3 linked regions of the Callithrix jacchus genome follow. The protein of the gene in region 3 interacts with the protein of the main gene of each other region in a biochemical or structural test. Links are inferred from orthologs where the notes say so. Each region holds a gene or a part of one and is shown on either strand. Other genes may lie near its edges.

Region 1 (3,500 bases), on a different chromosome or scaffold from region 3:
ATGAAAAGGAGTGCTGTGTTAGGCCAAAGACTTCCTACAGATACACAGACAGAAGGCTTTCTGACATTTAGTCTTGGCAGTCTCTGGTCATGTCAACTTTGCAATAGGGAAACTCAAGCATTTCTATTAGCCTTTGCAAGGCTAACCTGTGAAGGAATAGGAGCAAAGGTATGCATCTCTTGAGAATAAGCTAAGCCACTCTATGTCTACGGGCAGAGTGTAAACATATAATCTGTAGACTACATTTAGGATGGTGTTTCTCATGATACATGACAAATGATAACATGCTCAACTTTCATATTTTATGTACTAAGCCAATGTGAATTTGTATGTATTGTTCAGGATTTACATAGCCCACTGAAGAATTTCCAAAATCTAGAACTGTTGGAGAAAACTCCCCTCTAATGATAATTAAGAAGATACTAAGCTCCAGGCAAATTCTAATAATTTTAAAGGTACTATATCATTTAATATTCACAACAAAATTATGAGGGAGGTACTATTATGTTGCCCATTTTACAGATAAAATTGAGTCACGGGAGAGTTCAGTAACTTCTCCTGTGGTAATTCACTAATAAATGTAGAGCCAGTAGTTAAACCTGGACATTTTGGCTCCAGAGGCCACATGCTAATCACAATGCTACTTCTCTACCCTGAACAAACTTTGCTGAGAGTTATGAAATAAGTAGTTTTAGTTCCTTAGGTCTTCTTAAACTAAAATGAGTAAGCACTTTGAGCAGAGTATAAACTGCCTTCCCTATAGTGATCTACAAACTTTTCCAAGAAAATTATCTTTAGATGCAGCAATCAAAACTTGTGTATAAGGGGAAAAGGAACTCTTGTCTATCTCTTACTACTTCCCTGAATTTCATTTTTCCTAGGGAAAAAAAACTTTAAAAATCCATGTTGGTGGATTTTCCTCTAACATGAAAGAGCAGTGATTCCGCTATTTCAGAGACAGTGTAGATATTGGGATTAGTCTCTCTGTATCTCAGAATGTCAACACATTTGCCAACAATGAATTTATCAGTTAAATGCAGCCAAGAGATTGAGTTTATCTATGTACTACAAAGAAGAAATAGTTTACCACTGTTTTTACAGATTGAGGTAATCGGGCATATTATTGACATGTGCTATAGATTTAATTTAATACCACAGATATGGGCTCTGATAAGTTATTTTGAAATCTAGGCTAAGATGAGTAGAGTTGTTTCAATATTTATAGGGTTGAAAATGCAGAGTTAGCAAAGGAAGCATTTTAATTAAAACAATATTTTTCTATGTATGCTCAGAGTAAAATGAAGGGGAATTCTTTTAAAGCCGTATTACTTTTCTCCATATATTTGCTGGGAATACTTTTGCTGGGTTTTAAAACACATTGAAAAAAGGTTCGCTTGTTTATTTACCAATGTTTTAAGCCTTTTGATTTTAGAACCACCAAAAACAAAAACAAAAACAAAACAAAACCTCGATAGTTTCTTTTGATTTTACTTTTTTTTTCCCAAATGTATTTAGGATTCTCTATATTTACCCTTTTAAAATTGTATGTTTTAGGCATACTGGAGATAACATCAGTAGAAATCGGAGTTGTTGCTGTGAAAGCCATTAACAGCAACTATTACTTAGCCATGAACAAGAAGGGGAAACTCTATGGCTCAGTAAGTATTCTGCTTTTGTTTTCAAATCCACTGCAGAACATCATTACCACGGTTTTTGGAATGTTTCCTCCAGACATTGAATAGCTTTGTTATCCTTCTATTGCTAGTAAATAGAGCCACAGTGGTTCCGTCACCATCGTTTCAAGGGCTGGCAAAGCATCTTTTCCAATTCTGTAATCTCCTCTGTTGTTCACCCATTAGTCCACCACACAGGCTGCTGCTGGCATTTGTATGTGAATGTTCTAAACTGCTAACCAACTCAGGCTCTCACGGAAGCATCTGGTCAGATTGGCATGGGAATTGCAGACAACTTCGAGAAAAAAAATAATAAAAACAAAGATCTTGAATTGAGTAGAAACCCATGTATTATGTGTGTGTTATGGCCGAAGATAAAACAAGGGCTCAGATGTTTTGCATTTTGTTAAAATCTGAAATGGGGAAACATATCAGAAACACTATTTTGCATGTTGTTCAATCAACTCTAGAATTTTATTTACCTAGACAATAACCATTAATTCAAATTATGCCTCAAAAATCACACACACACACACACACACACATATGTATGTGTGTGTATGTATGTGTATGTGTGTGTGTGTATATATATATATATATATATGGAAATATTCCTTGCAATAGGGTATGGAGCAGGTATCCCTGCAGTGCTTTGGACACATCCACACCTGTATTCCATACCAAATGTTAAGTATTTGGAATACCACTTCAATCTTGGATCAAACTCATTTAAACCAATTTTTAGAAATTTAAGATCTTACTTAAAATAACAAATAGTTGTTTTATAATTGCAATTGTAATAACAAATTACAAGCAGTGAGACAATTTATCTTGTTCAAGTCCTTAGAAAAAAACACAACAGTCAATCATATTAAAATCTACTATATGCTAGATACTGTTTGACATCTTTGTATATCAAAGATGTACAAGAAAGAAATACAGAAATGGGCCCTGACTTCAAATAATTTATATTTAGGGGAAAATGTTAACAAATATGAAATAATTATAGCATGATTACATGCTATATTTCTTACATGCAAGAAAAGATCAGGTATAGTAAAGTAGCCTTATGATAAAGCTGGGAACAAAGTTTCAATCTCTTAGCTGTCATTTGAATGATGACAGGAGTATATTAGTTTGTGCGTGGATATTTTTCATTGTGTCCCTCCCAGAGGTAGATCAATGGAATGCTAACTGAATTTCATTTTTTCCCTCTGGATTCTACTCCAGGGGAGTATATTGAAGGCAGCTATAAACTTGGAAAAATTTCAATTGCATTTTTTGGAGGACATGCAATAATATATATGGCCAGAAATAAACCAGTGACACAAATCTCTTAAATAATTTTATATCTTTTCTAAACAGATCCTGTCATTTTTACACTTTTACGTAATCAAAATGCAATTTCACTTTAAATTTGTAAATAAACATACTATGTTAATTAGCATAAGGCTGCTGGTAGTGACCATTTAGAGCCAGCAGCTCTCAAACTTGATTATGCATCAGAATCAGCAGAAGGGCTTATTAAAAGACATAATAATGGGACCCACAGCCATATTTTCTGATTCAGTAAGTCTGTGGTGCGGTTCAAGAATTTCAGTTTCTGACATGGTCCTAGGTGTTCCTGATGCTGCTGGTGTAGTAACCACACTTTGAGAACCACTGGTCTGGACATAGAGTAGCCTTGCATTTTACTAATATCAGGTCCATTTTTAACTGGGGAGTCAGGCATGCTTTGAGTTGGTCCCTGGGACTAGCATAAATACTTTTTTGCATGGGGGTCAGAGAAATTTTGCTAAAATTTTTCCATTACCATTGCTCCCCTAA
Region 2 (2,922 bases), on a different chromosome or scaffold from region 3:
ATTAAGAAAAAATGTTTTCGGTGTGACTTTGGAGAAATAGCCTGTTCTTTAGTCTTTGGTTTCTTCGTCTATAAAATGAGTTGAATTAACTGACCTCTAAGGATCCTTCCAGCTCTAAAATTCCATGTGCATTTTAGATATTTAAAATCCAAAATTTCCATTTGCTAGTATTAAAGCTCTTTTTGTTAAAGTTCACCCAATTTGCAAATTGCTGACATGAAAATTCTTGGGAAAAAATATCCTGAAGTGTTTAGTTCATTTATCAACATCAATCTCACAACCATGGGCTTTGAACTTTAATTATTCACATTGTTCCCACTTCACTACAATGCAAAATATGTAACAGTTCATCCCACTATAATAAAATATAATTGGCTTTCCTTTGTATTCACAGCTCAGCATAATGCCTGGCACAGACTAATTATATAATAATATAGGTTTAACTGAATGAAAAAATGGTTGCATGGATGAACATACAAATTAACCTTTTATCTTCCATTACCATTGGAGACAATATAAAAGTAAATAAAGAAAAGTTGTGAAACAAGTCTCTCACCTGAGGGAGGCAGAGGTTCTGCTAGCTACACCAAATTCCCAGTGGTTAAACAATGAGTGATGTGGGAATAGTAATATGAGGCCTGCTACTTAGGAAAATAGGTCCTAATTTTAAAGAACAGTTGACATGTACTGCCAAAAAGCTACACATATTTCATAACCAACTGTGTATTATGTTGTTTTTCTGTTTTAAATTTAAGATACCTTTCTATGCAAACATACTACATAGGTATTGCTAATAAACCACATTAGACCTGCTCCACCTGAGGGTTAAAAAAACTCATGTATGTTTCAATTCTACCAAATATTACCTGCTTACTCTCTGTTTAAATTGAGCCCCTCTACAAATCATTTGGATAATGTTTGTTTGTTTGTTTTAACAGAAAGACTGCAATGAAGATTGTAACTTCAAAGAACTAATTTTAGAAAACCACTACAACACATATGCATCAGCTAAATGGACACACAATGGAGGGGAAATGTTTGTTGCCTTAAATCAAAAGGGGATTCCTGTAAGAGGAAAAAAAACGAAGAAAGAACAAAAAACAGCCCACTTTCTTCCTATGGCAATAACTTAATTGTATATGGTATATAAAGAAACAATTCCAGCAGGGAGTTCTTTAAGTGGACTGTTTTCTTTCTTTTCAAAATTTTCTTTCCTTTTATTTTTTAGTAACCAAGAAAGGCTGGAAAACTACTGAAAAACTGATCAAGCTGGACTTGCGCATTTATGTTTAAGACACTGCATTAAAGTAAGATTTGAAAAGTATACACAAAAATCTGATTTAGTAACTAAAGGTTGTAAAAAATTGTAAAACTGGTTGTACAATCATGGTGTTAGTAATAGTCATTTTTTCTTAAATTAATTTACCCTTAAGAGTATGTTAGATTTGATCTGATAATTATTTAAATATTCCTATCTGCTTAAAAAATGGCTGCTATAATAATAATAATGCAGATTATGTTATATAAGATATGTCAGACCTAAAGGCTGTTGGCAGGATTTGTCAGATAATCAAGCCACATTAACTATGGAAGATGAACAGTATTTTAAATGCTTTCTAATAAAAAATTATAATCCACTTAAACTCTAATCAGAAAAAAAATCCTCAAAAATAATCTATTATTAAAGTCAATAAAATAGATGATTTAACCAAAGTATAGGATTAGAACATGCTTATACCTATTAACAAGAACAAAATTCCTAATGCTTCTCAAGTGGAAAAGGCATTGCTAAAAGGATGTTTCCAAAAATCTTGTATATAAAATAGTAACAGTGATTGAGGATAATACTGTACTTCATGTCACTTGCCACAAAATTAACATTTTATAATTCCTCCAGGTAAAACTGAGAAATCCTTAAGTTTTTTTCAAGTAACATAATCTATCTTTGTATAATTCATCTTTGGGAATATGGCTTTTAATAATGTTCTTCCCACAAATAATCATGCTTTTTTCCTATGGTTACAGCATTAAACTCTATTTTAAGTTGTATTTGAACTTTACTGTTTTGTTATTTAAGTTTATGTTATTTATAAAAAAAAAAACAACCTTAATAAGCTGTATCTGTTTCATATGCTTTCAATTTTAAAGGAATAACAACACTGTCTGGCTCAACTGCAAGTTTCCCTCCCGCTTTGTGACTGACATCAAGTCTAGCACATAGCACTTGGGCCAGCAAATCTTGGAAGGCAGACAAAAATGAGAGCCTGAAGCAATGCTTACAATAAATGTCTGACACGGAACAATACAAATATGTAAAAAATCTTTGCCACATTTTCCTAACAATTAATTGGATCATATAAGTAAAGGCATTACAAATAAAAGAATTTATAGGATTTTAAAGTTAGAATATATTTGAATGCATGAATAGAAAAGTATCTTATTTTAAAACTATGTATATTTAAATGCAGTAATTTTCTAATCTTTAGAAATCTCTGCTATTCAAAAGGTGGCAGCACTGGAAGTTGTTTTCCTGTTAGATGGCAAGAGCACAATGCCCAAAATAGAAGATACAGTTAGGAATAAGGGGCCCTGAATGTCATGAAGGCTTGAGGGCAGCCTACAGGTAACAGGATTATTACAAAGATGAATTTCCACTTCAAAATTCTTTCATAGGTAGATCTTGGTAGCACTTTATATGTTCACCAATAGGAAGTCAACATTTATCTAAATTAAAAGGTATGCTAACCATTGTGGTTTTAATTTCAAAATATTTGTCATTCAAGTCCCTTTACATAAATAGTATTTGGTAATACATTTATAAATGAGAGATATATGAATATACTATGTCAAAAGAAACAATAGATTCATTTGATTTTCTTGTGGTTCACAGGCTGTAAGAAATTAGAAAAAAATTGCCCATCC
Region 3 (6,847 bases):
CTTTTTCATTATCTGCAAAAGCCTTCCATCCTCACCTCAGAATCCCAGGTGATTCCACCAGACCGGTCCACAGAAATGTGTTAGGCTAATCTTTTTGAAAGCATACTTTTAAGAAACAGAGATAAAACCGTAGCTACAGGACTCAGATACGTGCAGCCACTTCAGTGAGGCAACGTGTGGGCTCTTCTACTATCCACTATCGCCTCCACCGCCCTCAACGAGCGAAGCAATGTGACCTCAGTTTCAAGGGCAACCACAAAAGCAAGTTAAAAATGCTCGGGTTGGCATAACCAACTTCGTTCCCTTCTCTCAGTCCAGCTGGGCTTTAGAAAGCTAAACTGTTGGAGGCATCTGCTCACAGCTCCCTATTTCTGCTGGGCTGGAGCGGAGCTGAGCTGAGCCGTCTGTCCCACCCTCACTGGAGCTCTCGGGAAGAAAGGAGATCAGCAAAATCAAAAGAATCCCAGGAAGGCTACAGAAAATTCCCACCAGTTTACACTTGTCAGGATTCATTTTCGAATGGAGAAGTGTATTTCAGTCTTCCGCCAAGCAGCCACTTACGAAGAGTGAACACAACTGCGGCGCATTCAACGCAGCTGATCTAAAAGGGACTTTGAAGCCTGAATTCCCTTCCCCTGGGACCAAATGGCAGTCCCGGCCTGTGAAATGTCTTCAACCTCTGTAGAAGGATTAGGAAACTGAGCAGATGCAAATTCTGATGAATAACGCAGGAATTTATTAATAATGATGATGTAAATTACAGTCATGGCCTGTGATTGGACCAATAACTTTCAATATGCTCACCTATTGGCTAAATTTTCAGAGTATAGTTAGAAGAGGACACTCAAATTACTATTCTGTTCTGTTCACCCATTTGATCCAGGGAAAGAGAATTTTCCAAGCTTCATATATTCCAAATAACTTTAATTTCACTCAGTTCCCTCTGTGACTAAGTGTAGTGTCAAAATGCACAAACTTTAGAAAATAATTAAAACAATCACAAGAAGAGATACATCAAACTCAGGCTTCAGAATCTGTGAACCGCAGGAATGAACCACATTTATAAGACTGGGGGTTGGAGAGAGGCCTTTAATACAAAAATCTCTAAACTCCACATTTTTTATGTACCCACTGGATTTCAAGTTATGACATAGGATTTCAGCACTGCTGAAGCCTCCCCAAATCTCATCAGAAAAACTGCTCCTTTTAGCTTTTTTGTGACGATAAAAATGGATGAGGAAAAAGAATATGCCACACCATTTCCAAAGGAGGAATAAAGAAAACCTCTGCTTCAAAGGTAGCACAGGTGAAACGGTGTGATTCACAGCAAAAGCAAGAAAAGTATGTGTGCAGCTTGTGTGTCTACACAGTGCGTGTGTGTGCATGGTGTGTACGTGTGCTTTCAGATTGCTCGAAGGATTTTTCCTCCTAACTTTTCTTTCCTCTTAAAGTCAAGAGCCTGAAAAGATAATTTCAGATCTATTTCTACATACATGTGGGAGGAAAGTACACATTCTCATTGATTTACTAAGCATTTCCAGAATGCAGGGGAATTTTCTACCTTTAACACGACTTCAGGAACAATCCTGAGTCCTGGCAGAGGTTTCGCCCCAGGCTCCTTCCCCAGCCTCCTCGCCCACCTGTCCATGCCAGAGGAACCTTGTTAGCTTCAGGCAGAGAAAGGTGGACAGGGCCGTCCACTGAATCTCAAGCCATTCCAACATCCCGCTAGCCCGCACTGGAGATTTGCATTTCAGCCATTTCCAGGTCCAAGCTCCACAGCAGCCCCCTCCCCAAACCTCTGGAAGGTGGAGACCTAAGGCGACAGGTCTTCACAGTTCCTCACCGAGTGGACAAAAGTATGGTACGACCTCCTAGGCAGGATAATTAGGTCCCCAGGCTCGGTGTTGGGAACACAGGCCCAGCATGCCGCTGGCGGCCACAATCCCGGCTTCCTGCCTTCAATACCATAATCCTTCCTGGAGTCTGAGCCCCAGTGAAAGCCCCAGCGTGTTTATTTTTCCCCTTGAAAGGGAACTCTCTTCTCAGCCCGCACGCGGGAGGCGTTGTCACCCTCCCTCTGATGGATGGCTCTTCTCGGCCGCCCGCCCCCCACCCTCCCTCCACCCCGTCCATTTTCACCTCGGCACAAGCCTGCCCCCAAAGACAGGCAGAGTGACAAGCAGGAAGGGCTTGGCTGCGGAGTGGTCCCCATGCCAGGCCTGTGCTGCACTCTTCAATTTTACCATATTTCCAAAATCCCGACCCTCTAAGAAGGCAGGCCAGTACAGAGCCCTCCGCTTTGGGCTTCCACGTAAGAGGTGATAGGTCCACTGCTGGCTCGGCCACAGGGAACACTGCTGTTTTGTTCCTGGGTAGATTTCACATCAGGAAAGTCACAGTGCCCGGCTCCTCCAAAGCGCAGACCCATCTCTTCGCTTAAGGCCTCCCTACCTCTTCCCAGCTGAGGAGGAAAGGGAGCTGTCAAGGGGTCAAGTCTAGGGGAGAAATTCCTCAACAAATCGAAATCTCAAAAATCACAAACTGGGCCAGGACCCCAATACCCTCCCAGTTTCATGCTTGCGTCCAATCAGAACTCGCAGGCAGCTTGGGGGTGCTCCCCACCACCACCCCTTTCGGGACAGCACTTCTTTCATTTGTTTGCCCGAAATATCCTGTTTTTCTCCCCCTTCTCGGGGCGCTAAAGAGCTCAGAGAAATCTGCATTTTAATTGACATTCCAGGGAGAGGGAGAGGGGCGCCTGATTGCTTTTCTATTCAAACTAAACAGGCTTTTCAGATGAAAATGAGTCGAGGCCGGTGGAAGATTTACACGGATTTGGGACCCGGGGACAATGAAGTTTTAAATGTTGATAGCATTTCACACCAAACACATAATGGGTGCCCTGAGTTTCAAAGCAGGTTTGCCTTTAACGGTAGGTTTGATTGAATTGGGAGAAAGGAAAGAAGGTCTGGAGAACGGTTTGCAAGGGAGCGGGCTGTGAGGGGAGCGACCGAGGCTAGTGGCCCCCGGGCCGGCCTCCTGCGCCAGGTCCGCGGGCCGCGAGGGTCGGAGCCAGCGCCACGCAGGGCCCTCGGCTGATTTCCCCAGCGCGGCCCAGTCGCCGAAAGAATGAGCGCGCAAGTTAGAACTCGCCTGCGCTTTCGACATCTCCCAGCCGCTGCGGCAGAGCAGGCAGGCGAACTAGAAAAAGTCGGTCCAGTTCGCCCCCTAGCCCCAGGCGCGCTGCGCTCCCTCCAGCGCCTACAGCGGCTGCGGGCTAGGGGCGCCCAGGCATCGAAAACCGGGCACCGGAGCCGCCGCCTCCCCAACAGTGCCACGCCTGGCCATCACCACCCCTACGGGATGTCAGCGGCCCCACCCCAGCTGCCCCCTCCCGAGACAGGGGTCTCCGCGGGGCCTGGATGGTACGGAAGCTCCCAGGACCCGCGGATGGGGCACCTCGGAGATGCTCCGCGGGACCCGGGCTGCGGGGCTGTGCCATCGGCAGGCGAACCCTCCGCCCGTCTGCTCTGGGGTTGGAGGAACGCGCCCAGCCAGAGGGAAAGCGCCCGCCAGGGTTTGACAGGGAGGGGGGCGTCTGCACCAGAGGCAGATGTCAGCATCTGGATGAAGGTGGCAAAGGCAGAACTTCCCCAACAAGGGCCGTCAGCACGCACCCACCTCCCCATCACCTATGCAGCCACCTAGGAAGGCCAGGGGGCGTCCCCCACAATGCCAGTCCTTCCGCGCCCCCCGCCCGGAGGACGCTGCACCCGACGTCCCGGGCTCCCTTGGCGCTCACTTCCCCCGCTGGCGGAGAAGCTCCCAGAGGCGTCTTCCGCGGCGATTACCTTGAATGGCAACGCTCCTCCGCGATCTGTGTTGTCCCCGCGCCCCGCGTGGGTCGGGATGGAGAAAGCGACGAGCCCGGGGTTGCGGGGAGCAACTCCAAAAGCAGAAGAGGGATCCCCAGGTCTTCGCCCGCGCCAAGGCTCCCGGACTTCACGCGCACCACAGGCTGCGGAGGAGCGCGGGCATGACGCTTGCGGGCTGCCCTCGGATTTGGGGAGCCACAGGAAGAAAGGACTCAGGCTTGGCGTTGCCTCCACCAAACTTTGCTCGCGAGTTGCGAAGGCTCAGAGCGCGCAGGCAAGCTGCGGCCTCTGGGCCCCCGGGGCGCGCGGCCGGCCCCCGCCAGCCCGGAGAGCAGTCCCCGCGCCTGGCCAGGTACGCCGCATGCAGCCCCGCGGCGCCCGAGCTTTGTGGCTGCCGCGCGCGCTCGCTCGTCCGCTCCGCACCCACCGCCCGCCCGCTCGGCTCTCCACCGCGCTCTCCTGCGGCCGCCGCCCGCGCCGCCGCCGCCGCCTCCTCCCGGCGGGTCACGCCCCCGCTGAAACCCGAGCCGTTTCCTGGACGGCGGCGCCCGCTCTGCCAATCAGCGCCGCGCACCCGGGCCGCCCCGAGCCCCGCGCGGCTCACGACGCCTCCGAGCCCTCGCCCGAGACACGGGCCGGGGAGGCGAGGGCCCAGCCGCGATCCGGCCGTGGGGATGCAGCGACAGCCTCCGAATAAGGCCTGGTCCCGCGCCCCGCGCGACCTCCTCCCTCTTCCTCGGGCGAGCGCGGCTGGCCAGCGGCTCCCGGAGCGGCCGCGTTAAGTACAAGTGACCGAAGGCTCTAACCCTGCCCACCCCCTAAAGAGACTTTAAAATGGGTCTGCTTTTGGTACTGCGGGGAGGGTTGTCAGGCAACTGAAGCTTTCGGAGGAGAGGAAGCAGCCTGGAAATGTTCGCAGGACATTGCATTTTTCTGTCTTTCTAAACAACAGAAATGAGAGGAAAAAACTGAATATTAATGGGGGCCCTACTATGGGCGGGTCACACTACATAGGTGATTCTATTTCGCCTGCCCAACCACCCTGCAGAGTAATATTCCCAGTTTCTGATAAGGAAACTGAAGATCAGAGATGTTCAGTAATTTGCCTAGGATCACACAGCTGGCTATTGAGAGAGCCTGACTTTGAATGTGGCTCTCTCAGAAAAAGCCAAAAATTGCATTCAAAAAAATAAGTGTTTAGTAGTATATGTTTGGATTAATTAAAAGAAATTCAAAGAAGTCTAAAGATTCAACTCTGCCATAAGTAGCTGATCTTGAGCAAGCTAATTCCTCCCTCTGAATCCTAGATTCAAAATCATAAATGCAAAATCTGATTCTTCAAGTCCACACCAAGCTGTAACTGGCTAAAGTTCCTATTTCCATTTACCCTTTTCCCTAAGCCGTGTCTTCGGATTCATTCATTTTAAATATGCTTTTTCTTCCTCCTTATTCATCCAGCTCCAGAGCAGCCGTGCTCGGTTCAAGACGGTATAGATTAAAACCTTAATTATTTTTCTTTAGAAAAGGTCACTAAACCCAGAAATGCTTTAGAATCCTTTTGAGGCCTGAAGATAGATGAAGCATTGAGAACAAACCTGACTTGGAAAACAGACTTTTCCTGCCCTTAGAAACATATTTGCACCTGCGTCACTAGCATTGCATACTTCCTAACATTTACAAAAATTTTTTTTCAAGGTGCCACATGATTAGAAAATCATTTTTATTCACAGTATAGCACAGAAAACATTGATGCGAGTTACTTAAAAGCCACACGACAAATCAATCCCTTTAACTGCCTCACGCAAAAGGCTGTAATATTGGATTTGGGGAGTTTGATGGCAACAAAATAAAAACTGGCTCTTAAACAAAATGATGCCTCCATATGCTTGGTGGGAGGGTGTTTTTGGTCGGGGCCTCTAACCTGAATCAGTCCCAGAGCCTATATTAACAGACACCTCAGGACAGGTGACACTTAGCCATTCACTGCCACCTGGGTTGTTCTGAACCTAGCAGTATGTTTTCAAGTTCTCAGAAAAGGGATGCAGCTGAATGTGTCTGCCTGCTTTCAGGCTGCCTCTTACATCTTTACATTCCCCTCCAATGGGAAACTCAAAATATCTCAGGACAGATTCCTTTCCCATCCTGCACCGTATCCATCAGCCATTGAAAATGCTGTTAACACATTCTCACATAAATTAATGGTGCAGGAAGCCACTGTCCCTATCCCCATTCATCAATAGCTTTATGCACACTGAATGGAAGGAAGCCTTCCACTGAAAATGACAAATAAGAACACCTACTCTAATGTCCAGGCACAGTTTGCAGAATGTATTTTTTATGGAGATGAAAAGACACCCATCTATCAAAAGCTCCTTATTCCCTAAAGAGTGCTAATTTCTAAGGGAGTGAAACCCACAAGCCCACAACAGCAAACTCTTCAGTTTTGAAAAAAAAACAACAACAACACACAAAAGCATGTTTAGGATTATTTTTTAAAAATCAATTCTGTCCTCATATGTAGTCTTGAAGTGACCTCCAACAGTCCAGGAAAACCTTCACACCAGCGAGACTTCTGAATGAGAAAATAATCTCTTTACAGTTTTTTTTTTTTTCCTTTTTCTCTTCCCTCTTCAAGTGGCTGGAACCCCTTTCGTCAATGGCCTCCCATGAATGGTGTTGCTAATAAAGCCTATTAATGAGCTTCCACCGCGGAGTGTGAATAGGTAAATAAGCCCCAATCTGCTGAGGTTCTGGGGCAAGGGCAGAAAAGCCAGTCAGAACTAAAGGTGACAGTTTGAACTGAACTGCGAACGCCAGCACCAGGTTTCAGCTGAAAGAACCGCCAGACAAGGACACATTCACAGTCCCTCCACCCCCTACCGAGGCCTCTTTTCTTCACAGTTTTCCCCCCTTTACAAAATGTCTTGAGTAGTCACCCTTTTTTTTTTCTCAAAAGCCCTCGAGACGCC

The links.
Region 1: the proteins of FGFR2 (region 3) and FGF10 are reported together in a solved structure, tested with the Homo sapiens proteins (3 studies listed by BioGRID and IntAct, with this or other methods). The link is inferred for Callithrix jacchus from reciprocal best matches to the Homo sapiens genes FGFR2 and FGF10.
Region 2: the proteins of FGFR2 (region 3) and FGF7 form a complex in vitro, tested with the Homo sapiens proteins (3 studies listed by BioGRID). The link is inferred for Callithrix jacchus from reciprocal best matches to the Homo sapiens genes FGFR2 and FGF7.

Annotation. Positions count from the first base shown.
Region 1 is NC_133503.1:161,144,264-161,147,763, forward strand, and holds part of FGF10 (fibroblast growth factor 10), read left to right. Parts: intron 1-1,554; coding exon 1,555-1,658; intron 1,659-3,500. UniProt on the Homo sapiens protein: Plays an important role in the regulation of embryonic development, cell proliferation and cell differentiation. Required for normal branching morphogenesis. May play a role in wound healing.
Region 2 is NC_133509.1:37,194,339-37,197,260, forward strand, and holds part of FGF7 (fibroblast growth factor 7), read left to right. Parts: intron 1-938; coding exon 939-1,133; 3' UTR 1,134-2,922. UniProt on the Homo sapiens protein: Plays an important role in the regulation of embryonic development, cell proliferation and cell differentiation. Required for normal branching morphogenesis. Growth factor active on keratinocytes.
Region 3 is NC_133513.1:115,004,741-115,011,587, forward strand, and holds the start of FGFR2 (fibroblast growth factor receptor 2), read right to left. Parts: upstream 4,332-6,847; 5' UTR 3,855-4,331; intron 2,533-3,854; exon of another isoform or gene 2,143-2,532; intron 1,989-2,142; exon of another isoform or gene 1,562-1,988; intron 711-1,561; exon of another isoform or gene 36-710; intron 1-35. UniProt on the Homo sapiens protein: Tyrosine-protein kinase that acts as a cell-surface receptor for fibroblast growth factors and plays an essential role in the regulation of cell proliferation, differentiation, migration and apoptosis, and in the regulation of embryonic development.